4 linked regions of the Caenorhabditis elegans genome follow. The protein of the gene in region 4 purifies or fractionates together with the protein of the main gene of each other region. This does not show direct contact. Each region holds a gene or a part of one and is shown on either strand. Other genes may lie near its edges. The genes, in order: R05H5.3, suox-1, F41G3.6 and trd-1.

Evidence for each region.
Region 1: the proteins of trd-1 (region 4) and R05H5.3 fractionate together in Caenorhabditis elegans (co-fractionation; one large-scale study listed by BioGRID). This does not show direct contact.
Region 2: the proteins of trd-1 (region 4) and suox-1 fractionate together in Caenorhabditis elegans (co-fractionation; one large-scale study listed by BioGRID). This does not show direct contact.
Region 3: the proteins of trd-1 (region 4) and F41G3.6 fractionate together in Caenorhabditis elegans (co-fractionation; one large-scale study listed by BioGRID). This does not show direct contact.

The regions. Positions count from the first base shown.
Region 1 is NC_003280.10:10,195,415-10,199,300, reverse strand, and holds R05H5.3 (protein-disulfide reductase), read right to left. Parts: upstream 1,677-3,886; 5' UTR 1,675-1,676; coding exon 1,594-1,674; intron 1,541-1,593; coding exon 1,329-1,540; intron 1,277-1,328; coding exon 1,120-1,276; 3' UTR 983-1,119; downstream 1-982. Other genes in the region: R05H5.4 (Tyrosine-protein kinase), read left to right, coding at 10-273, 319-660, 706-969; srb-6 (Serpentine receptor class beta-6), read right to left, coding at 2,466-2,651, 2,701-2,893, 2,942-3,036, 3,105-3,206, 3,257-3,475.
Region 2 is NC_003284.9:15,495,209-15,501,039, forward strand, and holds suox-1 (sulfite oxidase), read left to right. Parts: upstream 1-2,346; 5' UTR 2,347-2,347; coding exon 2,348-2,459; intron 2,460-2,506; coding exon 2,507-2,703; intron 2,704-3,133; coding exon 3,134-3,313; intron 3,314-3,398; coding exon of another isoform or gene 3,399-3,446; exon of another isoform or gene 3,447-3,522; coding exon 3,523-3,684; intron 3,685-3,739; coding exon 3,740-3,964; intron 3,965-4,011; coding exon 4,012-4,222; intron 4,223-4,293; coding exon 4,294-4,384; intron 4,385-4,427; coding exon 4,428-4,875; 3' UTR 4,876-5,071; downstream 5,072-5,831. Other genes in the region: gob-1 (Trehalose-phosphatase), read left to right, coding at 1-167, 331-817, 864-1,006, 1,586-1,735; tbh-1 (Tyramine beta-hydroxylase), read right to left, coding at 5,146-5,425, 5,474-5,831.
Region 3 is NC_003280.10:6,740,857-6,745,103, reverse strand, and holds F41G3.6 (DUF2013 domain-containing protein), read right to left. Parts: upstream 2,191-4,247; 5' UTR 2,185-2,190; coding exon 2,154-2,184; intron 2,108-2,153; coding exon 1,955-2,107; intron 1,911-1,954; coding exon 1,766-1,910; intron 1,722-1,765; coding exon 1,582-1,721; intron 1,532-1,581; coding exon 1,394-1,531; intron 1,341-1,393; coding exon 1,198-1,340; intron 1,152-1,197; coding exon 1,011-1,151; 3' UTR 837-1,010; downstream 1-836. Other genes in the region: ins-15 (INSulin related), read left to right, coding at 374-481, 529-765; exos-8 (Ribosomal RNA-processing protein 43), read right to left, coding at 2,342-2,407, 2,458-2,787, 2,838-3,014, 3,060-3,203, 3,252-3,368; T14B4.1 (tRNA/rRNA methyltransferase SpoU type domain-containing protein), read right to left, coding at 3,708-3,881, 3,932-4,247.
Region 4 is NC_003281.10:7,383,819-7,391,691, forward strand, and holds trd-1 (Tetratricopeptide repeat-containing protein trd-1), read left to right. Parts: upstream 1-2,410; coding exon 2,411-2,473; intron 2,474-3,297; coding exon 3,298-3,385; intron 3,386-3,802; exon of another isoform or gene 3,803-3,893; intron 3,894-4,139; coding exon 4,140-4,387; intron 4,388-4,845; coding exon 4,846-5,482; intron 5,483-5,692; coding exon 5,693-6,099; intron 6,100-6,144; coding exon 6,145-6,636; intron 6,637-6,696; coding exon 6,697-6,930; intron 6,931-6,977; coding exon 6,978-7,124; 3' UTR 7,125-7,317; downstream 7,318-7,873. Other genes in the region: T20B12.3 (nucleolar complex associated 4), read left to right, coding at 1-3; tbp-1 (TATA-box-binding protein), read left to right, coding at 221-428, 1,053-1,615, 1,668-1,832, 1,878-1,964. UniProt on the Caenorhabditis elegans protein: Developmental protein required for cell fate determination in both the germline and seam cells of the developing epidermis.

The sequences.
Region 1 (3,886 bases), on a different chromosome or scaffold from region 4:
TTTTAACAGATCGGAGCAGGCGCCTATGGAACGGTGTATCGTGGAAAACTCGTGAAGACGGATGAAGTCATTGCAGTGAAGAAGCTCGATCCAGAGGGAGCCGACGAGGATGGTTTAGCTGAAATGATGAAAGAAGCCCGAGTGATGCAGCTCTATGACCATCCGAACATCGTCAAATTTCACGGCTTCATCTTGGACGATCTTCCGTATCTTCTCGTGCTGGAGTACTGTAATGGTGGAGCTGTTGAGGATCGGCTGAGAGATAAGGGAGAGGTGAGGGTGTTTCCAATTTAGCTGAAAGAAAATTAATTTTTCCAGAAAATAAAAGTTCCGACACGCGTCAAGTACACCTACATGGCTGCTTGTGGCATGGATTACCTGCACAAAAAGAACTGTATCCATCGTGATATCGCGTCGCGAAACTGCCTCATTCACAAGGGAGTCGTCAAGATGGCTGACTTTGGAATGTGCCGAGCCCAATCCGTCTACAAAGTTGATCTTAAAAAGCCATGCAACATCCGATGGCTGGCTCCCGAGGTTTGGGACAACGGGGAAACGCGTTTCAACACTGACGTCTACGCGTTTGGAATCATGATGTGGGAGTTTTTCGAGACCCCATTCAAGTCGCCATATGTTGAGATGAAAGCTGCTCAAGTCAAGGTAAATACTGCCAAAAAGGATCTAGATGTGTATTGAATTTTTCAGCGCAAAACCCGAGCCGGATATCGCCTCCCTCCACCACCATCAATGCCGAGTAGAATGGTGGAAATCATGAGCGAGTGCTGGCAAGTAGATGCTGAAAAACGACCAACCGCTGAAGAGTTGAAGGAAAAGCTGGAAGAGTTCAAGAAGAAAACGGAAAACTCCATCACTACTTCGGCACCACCTACAAGTGTGGAAAAATCGAAATTGTCCGTGTCGTCAGAGCCAACCACGAAGTCTGTGGATCCGAATAAATCTAGACTGTAAATGTAAATAAATCTTTGGCTGCGAAAGTTTTTATGGGAAATGTACGAAATTAGCCGCAATATTTGAAATTATGGTGAGAAATTGTGACAATTGATAAATTAGAGTGAAAGGAAACTTGAAATTTTTTGGTGTTACGTTGGTGGAGAAAATTTAATCGTAGAAAGCGAGCCACTCTTCCCAGAGAGCTTCTGGATCATTTCCTTTGTCCTGAATCTCGGTGCGAGCGTCCTGAACAACGACATCTCCGTTTGGCTTGACAATGCGCATTGATGGGATCGTCTTCACTTCGTATTGTTCAAGAAGCTCTCTGAAAATAATTATTTGTATACATTTAAAATTCGATTTTAGCTGAAACTAACTGAATTCTTGGAGTTCCAAATGGAATTGCAGTCCAGGCGCCCATGTGCTCAAGGAAGTATTCACGGAGATCACCGTCTTCACGATCGCGAGACACGAAAACAACCTCGAATTCTGGATGCTTCTTGCGAATCTCGTCGAAGAATCGAGTGAGCTTTGGAGTGAATTGACGGCATGGTGGACACCAACTGGCCGAGAAGTAGAGTCCGACGACCTGGAAATATTAATTTTGCCATTTTTTCTTCAAAAAAAAAAGAAATGTTTTACCTTTCCCTTGAGGTGCTCGCCAGCATCGAGCTCTTCGCTGTCTTGGTTGATCAACTTGGTTCCAGCGAGCAATTCGGACATTTCTGAAAAATAAAAGCTAGAAGTATTCATAAATTGAAATGGTAAAATGGCACCGGCGGAAGAAATGCGAACAAAATGAAGGTTAACTATAAGCTATAAATTCTGCAATAAAATTCGAAGAGTTTTCGCATCAAACAACTTCAAAAGCTCACAATTTGCTAAATATAAGACTTTAAAAACCGGGGTATCTGTGGAGAAAGCTCTTGGAGTTAGCCAACGCAGCAAAAAATGAAAAAAAAAGCGAAGAAACTCGATAAAATGAGAGGAAATGAGAAGAAAATTTTCGAATTTCCGTTCTAGCGCTTCTTTTTCGCGGCGAATTCAATTTCTGGCGCCGCTCCACAGAGCGCGCTTGCAAAGAGAACTCATGAATTTGTTGATCTTACGGAACTATTGACTCTCAAATAAAGCAAGATTACATTCGAAATATTATTTTTTTTTAATAAAGAGTAAATTTTTTTCAATGAAAAAAGCACAATAATTGTTCTCGCTCGAACAAAGTTTAGAAAAAGAATCAACGCAATATTTATTGATTGTGCCATAGAAGTACAGTAACCCATAATACTGTTTTTTAAACGTTTTTCGTAGTTAAAAAAACTTTTTTTCATGTACTGCAATTTCGTTTCTATAATAAAACAATTTTTCAGATAAAAAAGTATAAAAGTTGACGAAAGTTGCGAAAAAACTGGGATGGGTTACTGTACTTCTTAAAGGCGCACACCTTTGTGCACAACATCGATTTAAACATAAATATTATTGTCGTGTAATATATTTTTTCAATTATAAATCAGTCACTTCCGTCCTGATGACTTAGTCTTCCAAACATTTAAAATAGCCTCTTGATGAATCTGAGCCCCGTCAATTCCAGAATACTTCAATGTAACTTCCGCATAAACTTTTGCAACTTTTTGTCTTTGCAAATGCCGTAGAATGACGCATGAAGCAATACCAATAATCAAATTATACGTGGGAATAGTCTGAAAAAAATGTAATTTAGTCATGATTTGTCGAACACCATATTCTCACGATGTAAACACCTCTGACCGACATCAAATCGGCTTGTGTTTTCAAAAATCCTGGTCCTAGAAGACGAATAATTAGGGTGAAAATGAGATAGAGCGAGAAGAAGAATACATGAATAAATGAGATAAAAGTGGAGAATTTCGTGGTTATAATGTTCTCTTCCATTTGATAACGAGTTGATAAAGAATTACGCCATCTGAAATTTTCAGTGTTTGCATTTAAAATAATTTAAATCTGATCTTACTTTTCTTTCAAAATAGTGTTGATCTTTACCAAAAAATAATTGAAAACTAAATTTACACTATTAATAGCAAGTAAGGAATAGCATAACCAATTCATCTGAAATTTATGGTTTTATGTTTTAATGCCGCCTAGGTGAAATTTCCAAATTCCCTGGGAAAACTCACTTTATAACCGGAAGTATCAGGAACCATAAAGTATGAGATGGACGGTTGATCGAATTTCTCATCGAGGAAGAAGAAATAGACAAGTGCCATGTCGCAAAGCATCTGAACTATTTATTTTAATTTTAATAATAAAAAATAATAACGCTACTCACTGCAAAAACACCGATAAACACTCCAATATGAAGCTTAACATTTTCGTAGCAACGAGCAAAGATCAGAGCCAGAAGGCGTTCAGCAGTTATTCCAAGAATTGTGAGCATTGGGCAAGAAATACCGAAAACGCCGATATTTTGAAAGATACGGTTTTTCACGGGATTCACTAACAAATCACACTTGGAGACTGCCAAGAAAGGGATGACGACGTGGTGGGCCTGAAAGAATTATTCTGTAAATCTGTAATTATACGATTTCTATCTAAGTTACTAGCAACTATTTAACCACAAGAACAATTATTTATACACTCTATTGTAGTTCAAATTTTCGGCGTCAAAAATGTGTGAAATCTGAGTTATACGCGAACTTCTCTCCTACAGAATTCATTTCAAATTGACTCCTTTAAAATATATTCACAGTAACCCTACAGTAATCCACCGCGCCCTTACAGCAAACCTATACTATGAAAATACGAGGTATAGATTATATTTTCTGTAGAAGCATTAATGAATAATTGTTTTAATTCTGAAATTCAAGAATACCCCCCTAAAAGAAAAATGGAAAAAAAAACACGAGAACTGTATTTTTTTTAAAGCATCTCTTTGTGACATTTGTGACATTCTTTGTGA
Region 2 (5,831 bases), on a different chromosome or scaffold from region 4:
AATTTGTGGACGATGAAATTCGGTTCGAGAAAGAGGTCGCCGAGTGTAAAGCGTTTCTGATGGATCTCATTGATACGAGCACCACCGGAGGGATTAAACCACTGTTTATCACTGATTGGGATGGAACTATGAAGGATTATTGCTCACAGTATGCAACAAATTTGCAGGTTTGTGTCTTAAAATGAGCTGAAAAAGTTAAATTGTGTAAACTCAAATGGACATTTGAAAATACATTTGTTCAAACTGAAAATAAATTTTAAACGGCAAATTTTTTCTGGAGAAAACATAACTTCGAAAAAAAAAGTAAAACCGAAATAAATTACATTTCAGCCGGCCTACAGCGCTATCGTAATGGGTGTCTTCTCTCGTCTCTTCACCCGAGCATTTGCCGTCCTAACCGCAGGGCCTCTCCGCCATCCTGGAATCCTAGACCTCACCGCACTCCCCATCAACGGGCCGGTATTATTCAGTGGATCTTGGGGACGCGAATGGTGGCTTGGCGGCCGACGAATAGTGCATGATGATGGAATTCCTGAGGAAGGAAGTGTTGCAATTGGGCAGCTCTGTGAACAACTGGATGAGATACTTCATGAAGGGGAATTTGTGCAATTCGCGTTGGTTGGAAGTGGTGTACAGAGGAAAGTCGATCGTCTTACCCTAGGAGTTCAAACGGTTTTCAAGCAAGTTCCAGAAGACCTCTCAGCTAGATACATTGATGCAGTTCGTGAACGAATCCATCGAGTTGATCCCAACAGTCAATATTTAGTATTAGAAAATTGTTCACCGTTAGAAATTGAAGTATGCGTTCATTCGTCAGGTAATGCTCAATTTTGAAATTTATGATGATGATTTTCGAATTACAGGAGCTGTTTGGAACAAGGGAGATGGAGTTGCTGCTTTAGTGGAATCACTCCACGACTCGTTGAAGGTTGGAAAAGTTTGTGTCGCAGGGGACACCGCGAGTGATGTTCCGATGTTGAAAAAAGCAGCAGACGAGAATCCAGAGGTAAGATTTTGAATTGAGATAGTATGTCAATTGAACCACTATTAGCATACTTTTGAATATTTTTCGCTATCAATAAAACAACAGTGGACAACATCATACATATTAAGAAATCATAAGATCGCGAGAATGCCTACCGTTTTGGCGCGGGAATATCTCGTTGCGAAGGCACCTAAACCACTGGTCATCGCATGTTCTCTGTGCTATCGCTATTTTTGCGAAGTAGGCATTTTCATGAACTGATAGCTTCTTAATAGCTTGCACGTGGTGTCATAATGTCCCAATTCGGTTTGATCTACTTAGATCTACGAAAAACGCGGGTTTTAAGACGCAGAGTTCTCAACTCTGATTTTACATTGTTTAGAACATGATGACGTCACATTTTTTGGCAAAAAAAAATCCCGCACTTTTTAGTAGATAAAATTGTGATGGGAGAGCCTGACTCCACGTGAGCCGCGTGAGCTGGAATAACCTCGTAGACACGCTAGTAAACATTTCTCTTATTAAATTAAACTTGTATTTGAAATAATGCTAAAATGCTAAACACATCAGATAAATTTCTTGAAAACTTATTTTTTCCAGAACGTTCGAGCCTTGTTTGTCAATATCAACAAGCAGCTTCAAGAGAACATCACAAATATTGTTGGAGACGCCAAACGAGTCTGCTTCATCTCTTCACCAGATGTTGCTCACGCTGCGTTCGCCCAAATTATTTCAGAGTTCTCTGGATGAAAAATGAAATTGGATTGTTTCCCAACCATTAACTATTAAATATTAGAGTGGTAGAGAGGTAGAGAACAACGACAACTTGTTGTTTCTCAAATGTTCAACCACCCATCGTAACTTGCAATCAATGACCGCTGGTCAATGGTCAGCAAAGGCGACGAAACCTGTCTCTCTCTCTCGTTTTCTCTACGACCTCTGCTCTCTCTCACTGTTCCTCTTCTCAGTTTCTGCCACGTGACGTTTTTTTTTTCTGATATTCCATTTTTCGTTCTTCCCTCAAACTTCAATTGATTAGAACTGTAAAAATACCAAATAATTCAGTTATTGTTTTATAGAAATCGGTTTTATTAGCATGTTTTTATTGTACCCTCATTCACCAAAAATTCCTCATATTCGAATAATTGTTTAATAAAACTAGTCGGGTTTTGCTTTCTTTTTCCCCCCTGATTCAGTCCACTTTTCAATGTGTTTGTGAACTTCGTAGTTTTTTTTGTTTCAATTTTTTTTCAAAATTCAATTTCTAAAAAAGATATTTTATTTTTCAAAGTATTGTTTGTTTTTCGGCAATCTTGATATTTTAAACTAATAAGTTTCAAAGATTTTGCAAATTTTTTCAGAATGCTTGGCCGGGGCACATCTTTCAATCGGTTTTTTAGACACCGGCGTCAGTTCAACAAACTTTCGGGCGCCACTTCAGAACATCAGAGGACTAATGAAAATCACTCTTATTGTAGGGATCTACCACGAAAACTTGAAAATCTATTAACTAATGTTTAGACAAGTATGCATATATTGGAGGAGCCGCAACTGCTGGAGTGCTCGGATTCAAACACTTTGTGAAAACTGCAAAGCTTGATCACGCCAAAGATGAGACGATGTCAGAGAAGAAATTGGAGAATCTTCAGATATACAAGCAGGAGGAGGTCAAGAAACATGGAAAAGACGCAGACAGGATTTGGGTTACGTACAAAGATGTAAGTTGATTATTTTCAATTAGGACTCTTATGTCGTCCCCGAAAACACCCCTCTCACGCCACAATCCGAAACCTTTATAGCGATGCGCGGAACCCAAAAAGCGTCGGACGTGGAGTCAACTTTGCTACAAATAGTGTCATACTCTATGCCACTGTTTGGTGCAAACTCCGCGTCCGACATTTTGTGGGTTCCGCGCATCGCTTTGAAAATTTGAATTGCGGCGTGAAAGCGGCACCCACATGGGAGCCCTAATTTCAATTATTCAACTGTCCAGTTTTGGCTGACTGGACAAAATGTAGTTTTGTGACTTGGTTACAGGTTTTTAAGGACTTTTTTCGAACGCTTAGAACATTTCAAACTACATATATGCGTATTTCCAAATTGATGCTTGTTTATAAACTGGAATTAATAGTTTTCTTATTTTTACAGGGTGTCTATGATGTCACAGATTTCATTGCCATGCATCCGGGAGGTGACAAAATTCTGCTTGCCGCCGGTGCAGCTGTCGACCCATTTTGGGCTCTCTACTCACAGCACAAGACAAAAGAGGTTCTCGAGATTCTCGAAGGATATCGAATTGGCAAACTTGATGTAAAAGATGTTCCGAAAGTAAGTTCATGGAGTAGAAAAGAGGTGGCATACAATCCTTTATTGTGTGATTTATGAAATTCTGGTAACAAATTTTTTTGTTTAGATTGATTTTGAAGATTTAAGTAATGTGAGTTTGGTTGATTTTAATTAGGGTCCGGGTACAAACGCACCCAAAATATTGATCAATTTATCCTCTTATCTCACCTATGTTTGTGTTTGTTTTACAGCCAGTCGCTGACGCATTCTCCAATGATCCGGAACGTCATCCAGCTTTACTCGTGCGTAACTCGAAGCCCTTCAATGCCGAAACCCCTCCTTCCCTGCTTACCGACCACTTCTACACACCCAATGAACTGTTCTTTGTACGAAATCATCTTCCGGTTCCTGATGTATGTGAAAAGGGGTTGTGTGTGTAGTGAAGTTTTACGCTGGATTTTTTTTTAGATCAAAACTGAAAACCATCGATTGACTGTGGAAACCATCAAAGGAAAAACAGTGGATTTGTCTGTAGAGGAGCTCAAGAAGAAGTACAAGTCATATACAATTGGAAGTGTGATTCAATGTGCTGGAAATAGAAGAGCCGATATGAATCAGTATAAGAAAGTTCAAGGACTGATGTGGGAAGGAACTGCAATCAGTAATGCCGAATGGACTGGAGTTCGCTTGAGAGTAAATTTGAATTTTAAAATATGAGATATTAATTAATAAAATTCAAGGATCTTCTCGCTGACGCAGGAATCGACGTTTTCGACGACAAGATCAAGCACGTCCACTTTGAAGGAGCAGATGTTGATCCGACTGGAACACCCTACGGAGCATCAATTCCCATTGAAAAGGCTCGTGGAGATGAAGTCATTGTCGCTTATCACATGAATGGAGTTGATATTCCGAGGGATCACGGAGCTCCTCTGCGGGTCATTGTGCCAGGTACAACGGTTTTAACATACTTTTATTTAAAAAATTTTTTCTGATAATCGTTAATAAAAGAAGTCATTCAGGTAATGTTGGTGCTCGACAAGTGAAATGGCTCAGAAAAATTATTGTTAGTGAGAAGGAAAGTGATAGTCATTGGCAGCAAAAAGATTATAGGTTAGTAATAAATCTCCAGAACCTACAAACCATCCAATTTCAGAGCATTCTCCCCAGCTGTCAACATTGGTGACGAGCTGAAGTGGAACACAGTTCCATCTATCCAAGAGTATCCTGTTCAATGTGCAATCTGTAGTCCGGCTCCAAATACCAAAGTTGATCGTGGTGACGAAACTGTGGACATCTCTGGATATGCGTGGAGCGGTGGTGGCCGTGGAATCATCCGAATCGAGGTTAGCGTCGATGGTGGCGAGACGTGGAACAGTGTCGAGATGGAGCAAGAAGAGAAGCAGGATCAGGAGCACATGTACGCATGGACATTGTTCAAGGCAGAAGTGAAAATTCCTCCGGGAGTCAAGGAGTTCAATATTATTGCGAAAGCAGTAGACAGAGCCTATAACACGCAACCAGAGACTGCCAGTGGTATTTGGAATGTTCGTGGTTTGATTCATAATGCCTGGCATAGAGTTCCCATTATTGTGAAGGATTAAGATTTTTTTTTAAATTCCGTTCAGATCTCGTAGTTTTCTTTTCCCCTAGATTTTTTCTTGCTTCAATTCAAAATTTGGCCAGTTGAATCTTTAATTTGAACCAGTATTGTCTTGCCCCTACCCCCGTTTGATTTAATTGCAACAAGTTACGAAGTTTTTAGATCAACTGTGATAGTATGAATAAATGTTTTATGACAAAATATTTTTTAAAGGTTTAATTACGAATGATGTAGGAAAGGACAATGGCACGTTGAAAGTTACACAATACTATTACTCAAAATTAATCATGTCATTGATGGCTGGACACTGGAATCTATCCCTGGTTGTGATGAATGATCCGGAGACAAATGTTGGTCTTGCCATGTTTTCCCAGCTCTGGCGGGAATCTTTTGATTCAAATTCGAATGGCTCCCCGTTGGATTTCAAGCAGTTCATGTTCATGTTTCCAACATTCAACACATTGTAAAACTCCTCATCAACTCCATTTCCCCAGTCCTTGACGTTGCTGTACATATCCGAAATTTGCATTCTCTTTCCATCCATACCATGTCTGAAATATGATTGTAAAATTGGATGCATTTTGTTTCGATAATCTCACCGTTCTGAGAAGTAGGCTCTCAACGTACTATTAGAAATTGCTGATTTGCAAACTTCTACATCAGAAGCTGGGTAGTAATAAATATAGTTGACGCACATCTCATCCACAATTCGATATCCACCAAACGTCACTTTTGATCGTTTTCTGGTATCGTAGACGCATGTGGTGACCAGTGTGTCTCCTGGCATAACCTTAACCACTGGTCGAAGCTGTTGCAGATGCTGCCAATGAGGGGAGTAGTGTTCATCTCGGTTCACGTCTCCAATGCGAACTCCAGATCGATATTGAGATGTGAACAGTTTTCTGCCGGTTAGATGAGCGTGCAGTTGACTGGCGAAAATGTTGATTCCCTCCTCGG
Region 3 (4,247 bases), on a different chromosome or scaffold from region 4:
TAGAGATTCTAACTAAAACTTTTAAAAAAATCGAGTTTTTTTGAGTTTGGATTTTTAAGACTATTCATGGTGCATCGAAGAAACATCCACATTTATGCTCCTCCACAATTTATAGTAGTCTCTTGTTTTCAGAAAAATCCTTGAACTGTCTGGAAGATATCCGATTCTTGTAAGCGTCATTGTATTTTCAGTGAATGGAACGTATAATTTTTCTTGTTTTTTGTATTTTAAAATAACTGTTCATCGAAAACAACTATCACCCACCTTAAATTACAGATTGTATCGATGGTATAAAAAGAATATCCCGAGAGCTATTTTGTTCATTTACATTTCTTTTCTTGCCCAAAAACAAATGTAAATTAATTTTCAGATAATGAAGCTTCTTCCTCTCATTGTGGTTTTTGCTCTTTTGGCAGTCATATCAGAATCATATTCTGGAAATGACTTCCAACCTCGTGACAATAAACATCATTCCTATCGTGTGAGTCATTCTGAATAAGTTGCATTTTTGTAAATGAATAATTTCAGTCATGTGGGGAATCGTTGAGCCGACGAGTTGCATTTCTGTGTAATGGTGGAGCTATTCAAACAGAAATACTAAGAGCTCTGGATTGTTGTTCCACTGGTTGTACGGACAAACAGATCTTTTCTTGGTGTGATTTTCGTAAGTTAACAAGGAAGGAGAAACAGAATTATTCAGGTTTAATTTTCAGAAATTTGAACAGGACACAAATAGTTTCTTTTCTACTTTGCCATGTTGAATAAAAACATTGTTTCATAACATTTTCCCATTCTTTCATTAACATTGGCTAGCCCACTCAGAATTCAGAACTTTTCACAGAAATTTATTTCAAATTGGCAATAGCAGTAAAATGCGCAATGATAACTGGCAAAATAGTCATGGGATTATGAGTGAATGGATGAAAAGGATACCGTTCAAAATATAGCACACGAAATGATTGAAAGCCGGATGGGAGAAATAAGTACATAAATAATATGAAATTAGTGCCCTATCTTTTAAGATTGAACACCTCATTGACCAAATTGCTGAGCTCATCTTTCTGGTGCAATTCTGGAACTTGTTCGTGCGCGTCAGACGTCAAATCGAGAATGATCATTTTCACTTGCTTGCAGTACATTTGATCGCCCAGCTACAAAAAATATTATTGTTGATCAAGAATTTAAGTTATAATATACCTTAAACTCTGGAAGATTAGCGACAACTTCAGATCTCTGGCATAAACACATCAGAATTTCAACTGTCAGTCTCATTACAAGTGGCTCATCCTCTGTGATGCTCCACAGCGTGCGAACAGCGTCCGCCATTGTTGCAATGTCGTCTGGAGCGAAAATACAAAAACTTTAATGATGAATTCTTAACATTATATCTTACTTGAAAGTTGGAAGAAAATTGCAGCGAGAGCATCGATTAAATCATAACGTGATCCCGACGAATAGATACGACGAACAAATTTCTGGGCATCTGGAGATGCGGCGACTTCGTCAGAATCACTGAAGACGCGAAGAATAGCTGAAATTAGTTTTGATTTTGGAAATCTACAAGTGATAAAACAATATTACCAAACAGGACATTGGCTCTCTCATCGATTGAAAGTTGGTCCAGGGAGCATTGTGAGAGATATCGTAGCAAAAGACAGGTCTGTGTGATTCCGACACCTGTGTTCCAGTCGCCACCTCGAGGATCAGTTGGGAGAGTGGGTCTGTAACTTAGAAACTGCGAAGTTTATACTTAAATTATTCTTACTTGTCGCGAATGGAAACCGCCTCTCCTCGTGGGACCAGTTGTGATGGATGGCACCGAATTGCTGTTCCGAGCCAGGCAATAATATCATCATGTGTCACTTCTAGAGACAGCTCTCCGGCAAGTCGAACCATCGTTGTGTACATAGCTGAGAATGTATTTTTTAACTTAATTTCAATGAAATAATATTACCAATTGCAAGATCATTATCCGGGTGACAGAGAAGCCACATTCCGACGTGACTATCGGAATCAAGTTCGAGATTTGCTTCTTTTCTCTTCTTGTGTTCTTCGTCTCGAGCTTGTTGATAAACCATGATGTCCCTGCTCTCTGTGAAGAGTCCCTCTGCAATAAAAAAACTTTGAATCTAAAAACTTCATATCAAACGCACTGTTTCTATTGAAAGTTCCAAAGTATCGCATTTCGATCTGAAATGGAGAATTAAAATTTGAAAAAAATGCCAAAAAATGAGATACGATTCGATCGAACGAATTGGTGGATCCAAACAATATGAAAATCGATCGAGAAACAACAATTTATAACAGAAAACATATTTAAACGAGCAACAAAATTAAATAATCAAACAACGTTTTGAAGAGACTCCACGAATTTGTGTCGGCGTTCGGCGGTAATTTGACACATTTTCTGAATATGAATTAAGTTAGTGATCGTAAAACTACATAACAATAAAATACCTTTAAAAGGGAGAAAGAAGAAAACTGTCCTCGTTCACGAACCATAACCATGTGATCATCTTTTCCAACAATTACAGAACAAGTTGCTCGACACACTGATATTGCTTCTAATGTTGGAGACAAGAGGAGAACTTCAGACTTTTTGTCTGAATTAACGTCAACGAAAATACCGAATGAACAGCACATCAAAGGTTCTTCGAGCGTCAATCGATGCATTGTTCGGTAATCTGCTTGAATTTGTGTTTTTTCAATTGTCGATTCGTCGCCCTCGGAATGGTTTAATACAATCGACGGGAGCTTTGCATCTACAAGAGCGGCACCGAGAGCGCACTGAAAAATTTTAAAATTATGTTTAAAAAAACAAAATCTTTTGTAAATACCACAGCTGCATCCAAAAAGTTTCCCTCGAGACTGAGCACTTTAACAATGATATGAAGTTGCCATTCCAGAGGCAAAGGTTTGCCACAGACATCCAAACATCGCAAATTTTCGCGTCGAACGAAACAATTATTTGTGAATAACGAAAGCAAGACACTGTTGCAGTCCTCTGCGTCTTTCTATAATTTATATGAATACAAGTAAATAAATGTTCAGTAGCTAACCTCTGATAGCTGCTGAGAACCTTCAATTTTGATATCCACCAGGGGTGCATCACTAACGAGTGAAACTGAAGCTTGAATTGAACACGAAACAGTCACTCCTTGGGTACTGACGACAGATGAACCAACACCGCCACATTCTCCTTGCTGAAAAATTGAAAAGTTTACATAGAATTGAATCGTGAGAAAAATTACCTTAAAAACAAGTTTTTGTTCATCAAGAAGACCACGTCCGTCAGGATAGACTCCTTCTTTGATAAAAGTTGCAAAGTATCCACGTGGATCAATGCCTCGAAGTACTTCTGATGACATTGTTGATTAGCCAATTCTTCTTATTTTACCGGCAAAATCAACGCGCTGCAAAAAACAAATTCTTTATAAGAAATAAAGTTAGGTGTGCACTAGGGCGAGTTTGCTTGGGAGACCTCGCAACAATTTTCGCAGACACCGGAGAATTGAATCCACAAAATCTCCGATCGTAGAACGGCAAAAAATAAGAGTTTCTTTTTTCTTGGAGAAATATATGGTGAAAACTCAACGCTTTTTATTTTTATTCAACACACCATCTAATTATTATTAATTTTATTGTTCAAGAACGAGCAAAAAAGAAAGTTAACAACAAAAACAACAACTTTAACAAGGGAAGTTTATTTAATTTTTATCAAATCTGACTTGTTCGGCAAATTTAGCAATCATAAGCGCCGCCGTGACGTGCACATTCAAACTTCGAGTATGCCCAACTTGTTTGATTTCCACAGTTTGATCAACTGCGCGTAGTAGATTCACCGGAACTCCTTCTTTTTCATCGCCCATAACAATCACAGCCTGAAAATAAAACATTATTTATTCGTTTTTCTTAAAATACAGCTTAATACCTTCTTTGGGAATACAAAATCATGCATCATCACACTATCAGTCGTCTGTTCAGCTGCGATCACTGTGTATCCGTTGGCTCGAAGATTTTGAAGATATGGGAGCAAGTTTGTTCGTTTAACCCCTTCGATTTTCTGCCAATTCTCTGAGCTCATGCTCAATGCTTTGAAGTTCGCATCCTGGGCGACGAGAACATCGGCAACGACAAGTGTGTCAACTCCAAAAATTTCAGACGTTCTACAGATTCCACCAAGGTTGTTCGGTTTATCCACTAAAGAAGCCACAACAATCAGTGAAATTCCACCGTCGTTCAGCTCG
Region 4 (7,873 bases):
TAATCAGATTTTTTGTTACAGTTATTGTTGTTCCACTTTTGTTGTTGTTTTTCCGTTTTCTCGTTTTTATATTTTAAATTTTCAAAATAGTACTGTTGTTTTTCTTTTAAAATAATTATTCCAGTGTTTTATTCACTGAAATCATATTTAAATTAAATATCTTGTTCCAATTTCTTATCCATTTTTCTTTTTTTGATTAAAAATATTTTTACAGTTCACAATGAACCTTAACAGCCCAGCTGTATCAATGCTTGGCGGTGACACCCCTGCACATGGTGGACCGAATTCCGTACTTGGAGGTCAAGGACCCTCATCAATTCTCACGGGACACGGTCCCAACTCTGTAATGGGACCAAACTCGATTCTTGGACCTGGAAGTGTTCTCAATCCACAATCAATTCAACCAATGCAATCACAACAAATGCACAGTAAGTTATTTGTGGAAAACTCATTTCAGGGTTTTTGCTTGAAAAGGATAAAACTAGCCCAAAATTAACTAATTTTTTTTAAAGAGACTGCTCATAAAATTTTCACTATTTTTTATGGCATGACAAAAAGTAAATTAACAAGAAATCAGAATTTTGCTGAATCCCGAGACTTCTATCACAGCAGCTGAATTACAGATTTTTTGAATTATCACCCTTTATAGAATATTTTGTTAGTTTTTCGTTAATTTCGGCAAATTTTTATGTCGTTAGGCGTCTAAAAATGAACATAATTGGCATGTCGATCATAAATGGGACTGAATCGACGATGTGAAGCGAGATAAACAACTAAATTATAAAATTATAAATTGTTCAATAAAATACACTAATTAAAAAAAACTGTATCCTAACTGATGCGACAAGGAAAAGTTAGCGAAATTTCAGATTTAAGCGAAATTAATACGTTTTTTTTTCGAAATTTTAATATTGTACAGTTTAAAAAATTTATGAAAAAATCTGATGAACTCTCTGTGCACGTTTATTTTAGCCGTGACCAGTCTTTCAACTTTATAACCTTTTTTCAGTCTTAAAGCCGTTTGTCAAAATTAAAGATTTATATTATTTCAGGCCTTCAAGGTTCTTCAATGCAAATGCATTCACATCTCGCCAACTCCAATCTCAACTTGAACATAAATCCAGCTTCAGTCGGACCTGATCGTAATCCTGGATCAGTTATGCATCACAATTTGGACATCAATCCTCCATCAGTTGCATATCAGAATTTGACAGTTCCAATGACACCACTTGCATATTCTGTATATGATCGAGATGCTCTGACACATCAGGCTCCGGCAAGTAACATCGCTGCCACAATGGTTCCAGCAACTCCAGCAAGTCAATTGGATATTCCGATGCCAGCTCTTCAGAACATTGTCTCTACAGTCAATTTGGGAGTTCAATTGGATTTGAAGAAGATTGCATTGCACGCGAGAAACGCCGAATACAATCCAAAACGTTTCGCAGCAGTCATTATGAGAATTCGTGAACCAAGAACAACTGCTTTAATTTTTTCGAGTGGAAAAATGGTGTGCACTGGTGCGAAGTCAGAAGAAGCAAGTCGATTGGCAGCACGAAAATATGCGAGAATTGTTCAAAAGTTGGGATTTCAGGCGAAATTTACCGAATTTATGGTAAGTGTTTCTGGAAAAAGGTCACAAAATCATTTGAATAATTTTTTTGTAGGTTCAAAACATGGTTGGTTCTTGTGATGTTCGTTTTCCGATTCAACTTGAAGGATTGTGCATTACTCACTCTCAGTTCAGTACTTACGAACCAGAATTGTTCCCTGGATTAATTTATCGTATGGTCAAACCAAGAGTTGTGCTCCTTATTTTTGTGTCTGGAAAAGTGAGTTTAAGTTATGAAATAACCTTTTCTATGTTAAATTTTCAGGTTGTTATCACTGGAGCAAAAACAAAGAGGGACATTGACGAAGCATTCGGGCAGATTTATCCAATCTTGAAGGGATTCAAAAAATAACTTTCTTTTATTAAAATTGTTTTCATTCTTCTTTATTTTCAAATTTTTGTTTCATTTTAAGCCTTCCCTTATCCCTAAACCCGGATCTCGTATAATACAGGTAAAGTAGCTTCATTTTAGACATCTATGCACTTTAGAACCACTTTCTTCAGTCTACCAATCCGATAAAATCGTTTCGAATTCAATAAGCTTTCGATTAATTACTGCTCACCATTTCTCCCCGTACCTTGTATAATTTTGTTGATGTTATTTTTTTTTGAAGAAGTGACATTATCAATGTTCTTTTCAACTTTCCTCTTGTTTTTCAAATTTCTCCCGTATTATTGAGAATAAAGTATTAAAATAGTTGTTGTTCAATCTACGAAATTGAATTTCTGATAATTTCTGTAATATATTTATTCATATTTCAAATTTATAACATTTCAGATTGAAATTTATCGTTTTAGATGATTCCAGCTGATATTATTGCATCAATTGCTGGATTAGTAAATGAAAAAGATATTGAAAAGGTATTTCATTGGTTTCTACATTTTCAGATATAAAAGAATATTTCTTAACCCGACAAAACTCGGATTTCGATCTCACTGTCAATTCTGTTTTTAAAAAAGTAATTAAGTTTCGAATTTAGTAGAATTTCTCCAAAATTTTTTTGCCAAAAGACTAGGAAAATTTAAAAAAAACAAACAAACTGAAATTTTAAAGGTTTAGTGAAAAAACTCCGAAAGAGAAATTGAAATTAGTGAAAACACAAGAAAACCAGAAAGAAAGTCGATTTTAATTTATTTTGAATCCGTAACAACTCAAAAACTTGAGCAAAAGTTTCGAGACCCGAAGAACTCGAGGGATGTCCAACTGGGGGGATTACCAACTCGGGGGATTGGCCCCGCCCACAGAACCGTGGCTTGCAATACGCCCATTTTTGCAACTGCCGCACGGTTTTAAAATTATTTTTCTTGTTAATTCTCGCTCTATTGAGAAAAATACAGTTTTAAAACCGTGCGGCAGTTGCAGAAATGGGCGTATTGCAAGCCACGGTTCTGTGGGCGGGGCCAATCCCCCGAGTTGCTAATCCCCCCAATTGGACATCCCCCGAGTTCTTCGGGTCTCAAAGTTTCAAATTAAAAAAAACAACACTAGAACCATAAACATCACATGTTGCTAAAGAATATCCGCGAAAAATGTAGAATAGTTTTTTTTGGATTTTTTTCCAAAAACTAATTTTTCGTCAAAATACAAAAAAAAAACACATGGTTATAAGATCGCTCACTTTTGCGCAAACAGTTTTTTGAAAATATAAAGATTCATAGTATCCGAATGAATTCAATTTTTTCAGATCACTTCTGAGTATCAGGACAACATTTGGGAATTCGTGGAATCACTTGTGACTCATGTTCTTGCCAGTAATCATGTTGGATATTCTGGTAAGAATGAATATTTTAACACCCTAAAAATATTAAAACGAGATAGAAGTTTGGAAAAAAAATTCAATTACAAAACTTATTTTTTTTAATTCAAAAATCGTACAGTAGAAATAATAGTATAAGGTTCGATGTGCTCTGTGAGCCAGAAGCTGCAAAAAAGAAGTGCAACAGGCTGGCTTCTCTGTGCTCTCCAGGCGCCGGTCGGTGTATGGGCTCGGCGCTCGGCGCCCGGAGCCTCTGTCTCTGTTGTGTTACTTCGTGTGTGCATGTGCTCTGGAGAATAAGGAAAACGAAGAGAAAAAAGCAAAGACGAAACGAAAAAAAAACGGGGGAAAAAGCAAGCACATGCATGCGAAAAGTGTGTTGAAACTGGAGAACTTCTCGTGCTATGTGGAGCCAACGACAGCGAAACGAGTCGGCGGCGATGGTTGGGTGGATGAGGGCTTCGTCTAGTGGGAATCGACGGTTTGGTTCGATTCTCTACCCCTTCCACGACGCATTGATTTTAGGTTAGGCGGTTTTGCAATAATGAGATAGGATTCCTCTAGGGATGAGGATCAAAATAAATCTATTTTTGAATTTTTCACAAAAAATCAACTAAAAGTCGTAACTGTAGCAAATCGTCAAAAATTGTAGGCATCCTGAAGAAACCTGGCACCAAAAAATCAGAAGGACTGAAAAAAACCACTCATTATTTTTGAATTTGGATTTTCTCAAGTTTCAAAAGAACAGAAAATTTTCAAGCTATTTTCAGATTATAACACATCCTCGTTCATATCAGAAGAACTCGCTCGCCAAAAATTATCATGTGGTCTGAATATACCAAATGCTGTGTCAAAGTCCTTATGGGCACTACACTTGGCACATGAACACGTGGAAAAATTGAAAGATCTTTCTGATATACCTCCAATTGGATATCGTGTTATACTTGAGTTCTACCTAGTTTGGCAACAGCTTCTCATTGATCCAGAGGAAACTATTCGCACTGAAATTGAACCAATTGTAAGTTAAAAAATATATAAATGTGGATAAAAAGGTTATACTTTTTTTTTTTTTTTTTTTTTTTTTGAAAAAAATTTAAAATTTATTCAAAAAAAAATCAGACTTCTTTCTTGGCTTTTTTCTACGGTTTCGACGAGGATGTTTCAGTTGATCCTCCACATTCTTCTTTGATTGTTTGCATTCCTTCGATACCGTTCAGTTTCTTCTTTCTTCATGTCTTCTTTGCCTGCAGGTTTACAAACCGCACTTTTTGAATGAAGAACTGTCAGAATCACGAACACGATTGTAGTGATGATTCCGATACCTCCGAAGACAGCCGAAACTATCATTAGCATGCTAGATGGCAAAATAAAGTGCTTTTCACTCATCTTTTTGATGAATGAGCGTTTTTAAAAACTCGAAAATACTTGAAATTTATGAGAAAATTTTTATTCAGTTTAGAAACTAATATTTTTCAGATGGAGAAGCTTAGAGTTTTGATTGCCGAAGAAAATGATGCATTCACTTCAGAAGATCGATGTCAGATACAACTCGAGATGGCAGCTGTACGGTTTCAATTTTATGAATACGACAAAGCAGATAACCTGATTAAAAGTGCAAGTGAAGAATGTCAACTAAACATGGATTTGAGTGGAATGATGGGAAAACGAACACGGTTCCAACAGAGAGATATTGCACAACTAGTTTTGATTCATAAGGATCCATCAACTACTGGAACACCTCTTCCTCCAGATTCTGATATTCCGCAGAGTTTGGATATGAATGATGATACTCTTCTTGAACAAGTTGCTATTACTGAACAAGGAGCAAGAGTTGATGGAAGAACACTGAATGCATGCCAACTTTCGTGTCTGTTATGGATTGCTCGACATGAATCAGCAACTCATCGTCATGATGTATTAGTTCACGAACGATGTTCACCAGTGTTGGATACTGTAATTGCAGCAAGAAGATATTGGAGTATTCAGGCAGCTGCTCTTTTGGCTCGTGCAGAACTTGAAAGAGGTCGAGTGAGACAAGTGGATCGTTCATGTACACAATCTGAATTGGTGGTAAAGTTACAACAAGGAGTTGATGATCCAGTTCTTATTAAAGGTGATTACTGAACTTTTATATTCAATGGAGAAGTTAAAAAAAGGGTAGAGCTCGAAAAATAATTTTTTTTTGAAAACAAAAAAAAAGTGTTTTACAATAATGAGAAGTTTTGCAAGTTTTATATTTTTATAGAGTTAAAAAAATTTCGATCATATATTTCCACGATAGTTACAATCAAGAAATCATCGAAAAAATATTTCAAAATTTTAGATCGTCTTCTCCGCACGTCATATATCCTCGCATCTGGTCTCACTCCATTTTGGCAATCTTCTGTTCTTCTGGCTGGTATTCTCAATTCTCTTGGATGTACTTCTGAAGCTTTGCTCATTCTGGAAAAGCTTGAAATGTGGGACGGGGTTATTGACTGCTACAAGCAACTCGGACAAATGGACAAGGCTGAAACTCTTATCCGCCGTTTAATTGAGCAGAAACCAAATGACTCTATGCTTCATGTATACTTGGGAGATATCACAAGAAATTTGGAGTATTTCACAAAAGCTATCGAATTATCTGATGATCGGAATGCAAGGGCTCATCGATCACTTGGACATCTCCTTCTAATGGATAAAAAGTTTGAGGAGGCCTATAAACATTTAAGAAGAAGTCTGGAATTACAGGTTACTGATAAAACTAATTATATTTTTATACAACTTTTTTTTCAGCCAATTCAATTAGGAACCTGGTTCAATGCTGGCTACTGTGCATGGAAACTTGAAAATTTTAAAGAATCCACTCAATGTTACCATAGATGTGTATCCCTTCAACCTGATCATTTCGAAGCTTGGAATAATCTATCAGCTGCCTACATTCGACATGGACAGAAGCCAAAAGCATGGAAACTTCTACAAGAAGCTCTTAAATACAACTACGAACATCCGAATGTATGGGAGAACTATATGCTTTTATCAGTAGATGTTGGAGAATTTTCTCAAGCAATTCAAGCCTATCATCGTCTTTTGGATATGAATAAACGAGGAGCTGACGATGAAGTTTTGGAATTAATTGCTCAAACACTTTTAAGAAGAGAAGCTGAAATTTCAATGGATGAGAGCGAGGATAAAGCTCAAAATGAAGCAGAAAATCGGAAGGAAAAAGAAGAAATGATCAAGTTGTTGGCCAGAATCTCAGCGAATCATCAAACTTTATCCCCAAAAGTAATTTTTTATCGAAAATTTAAAACTTTCTAAAAAAAAAAAAATTAAATTAAATTTCAGACTCTCCGTGTCTACGCTCTTCTCAAGAAGCCATCTGTTTTATCATCGGAAACTCGAACCGAATTTGAAAAGTATGTGCGATTACTGGAGAAGAGTCTAGCTGCAGCAAATGGAAAACTGACGTGGCCAAAAGAAGAGAAATTGGCGTTGGAAGTTGTTGAAACTGCTGTACGATTAGCCGAAGATCGTCTAGAGTTGGCAAAGTTCATCGCATCGGATACGTCTGTGAAAGAAGTAAAATAGATCATGTTTCCGTTATGTATCTAAATTCATTTTTACAGGCATCCGCTAAAGTTCGTTTATCTCTTCGTGGCATTCTTACTCGTCTTGATAAGGATTCAGGAAGCCGCGTGTCTGGTGATGAGACGGAGAAACTTCAGGAGATCGTAGAAGTTGCCAAAAGTCTTCTGGATAGTGTGGCAATTTGAATCTCCAAAAATTCAAAATTTAATAAAAATATTCCCTGTTAATCTTTGATTTTCTCCCAGTGAACGATGTTGTTTATTTTGTTTTTGTTCTAATCTTAATTCAGTTGTTATTGTTTTGTTTTTCTTGTTCTGTTTCAAGTAATTTAATTCATTTAAATTTTTTTTTAGTAATTCAAATGAAAATTGATAGATACATTGAAAACTACACATACCCTGATTTTTTTCGCGGGGAGACTGAAGAAAATGGCACCGGAGCGGCTTTTTACTTGAAAATTGGTCAGTAGAAATGAGAAAAACGAAGAAAAACAAAGCAAATTACCATTTTGAAAGAGCGATCGAGAGTTTTTCAGAAAAAATTATTTTCTTGAAATTTTTTGAAAAGAAAAACTGACAATTTTTCTTTCCTGATTTTATTAAATTATTACCTGCTTGCGAAAAATTGTGATTTTTAACTTTGAATCACGGCTTTGGGTCTTGGCACGAGCCAAACTTTCCAGCTACCGTACACTGGAATATGGTAGATTTTTATTTTCATTTTCGCAATTTTCTGTTCAAATTGCAGTTTTAAATTTTAGAAAATGGATAAAGCAAAGAGAATGGTGAACTGCAGACAAAGTGTTAAATACTCGCAGAGCGGGCACTGTAGCTAAAAAGTTTCGCTCATCGCAGGGCCCACTGCCATGATTTTTGCGGAGATTTGATCGCAAGTTTTAGCATCCCAGTAATAAAATAATATGAGAAAATTCGAT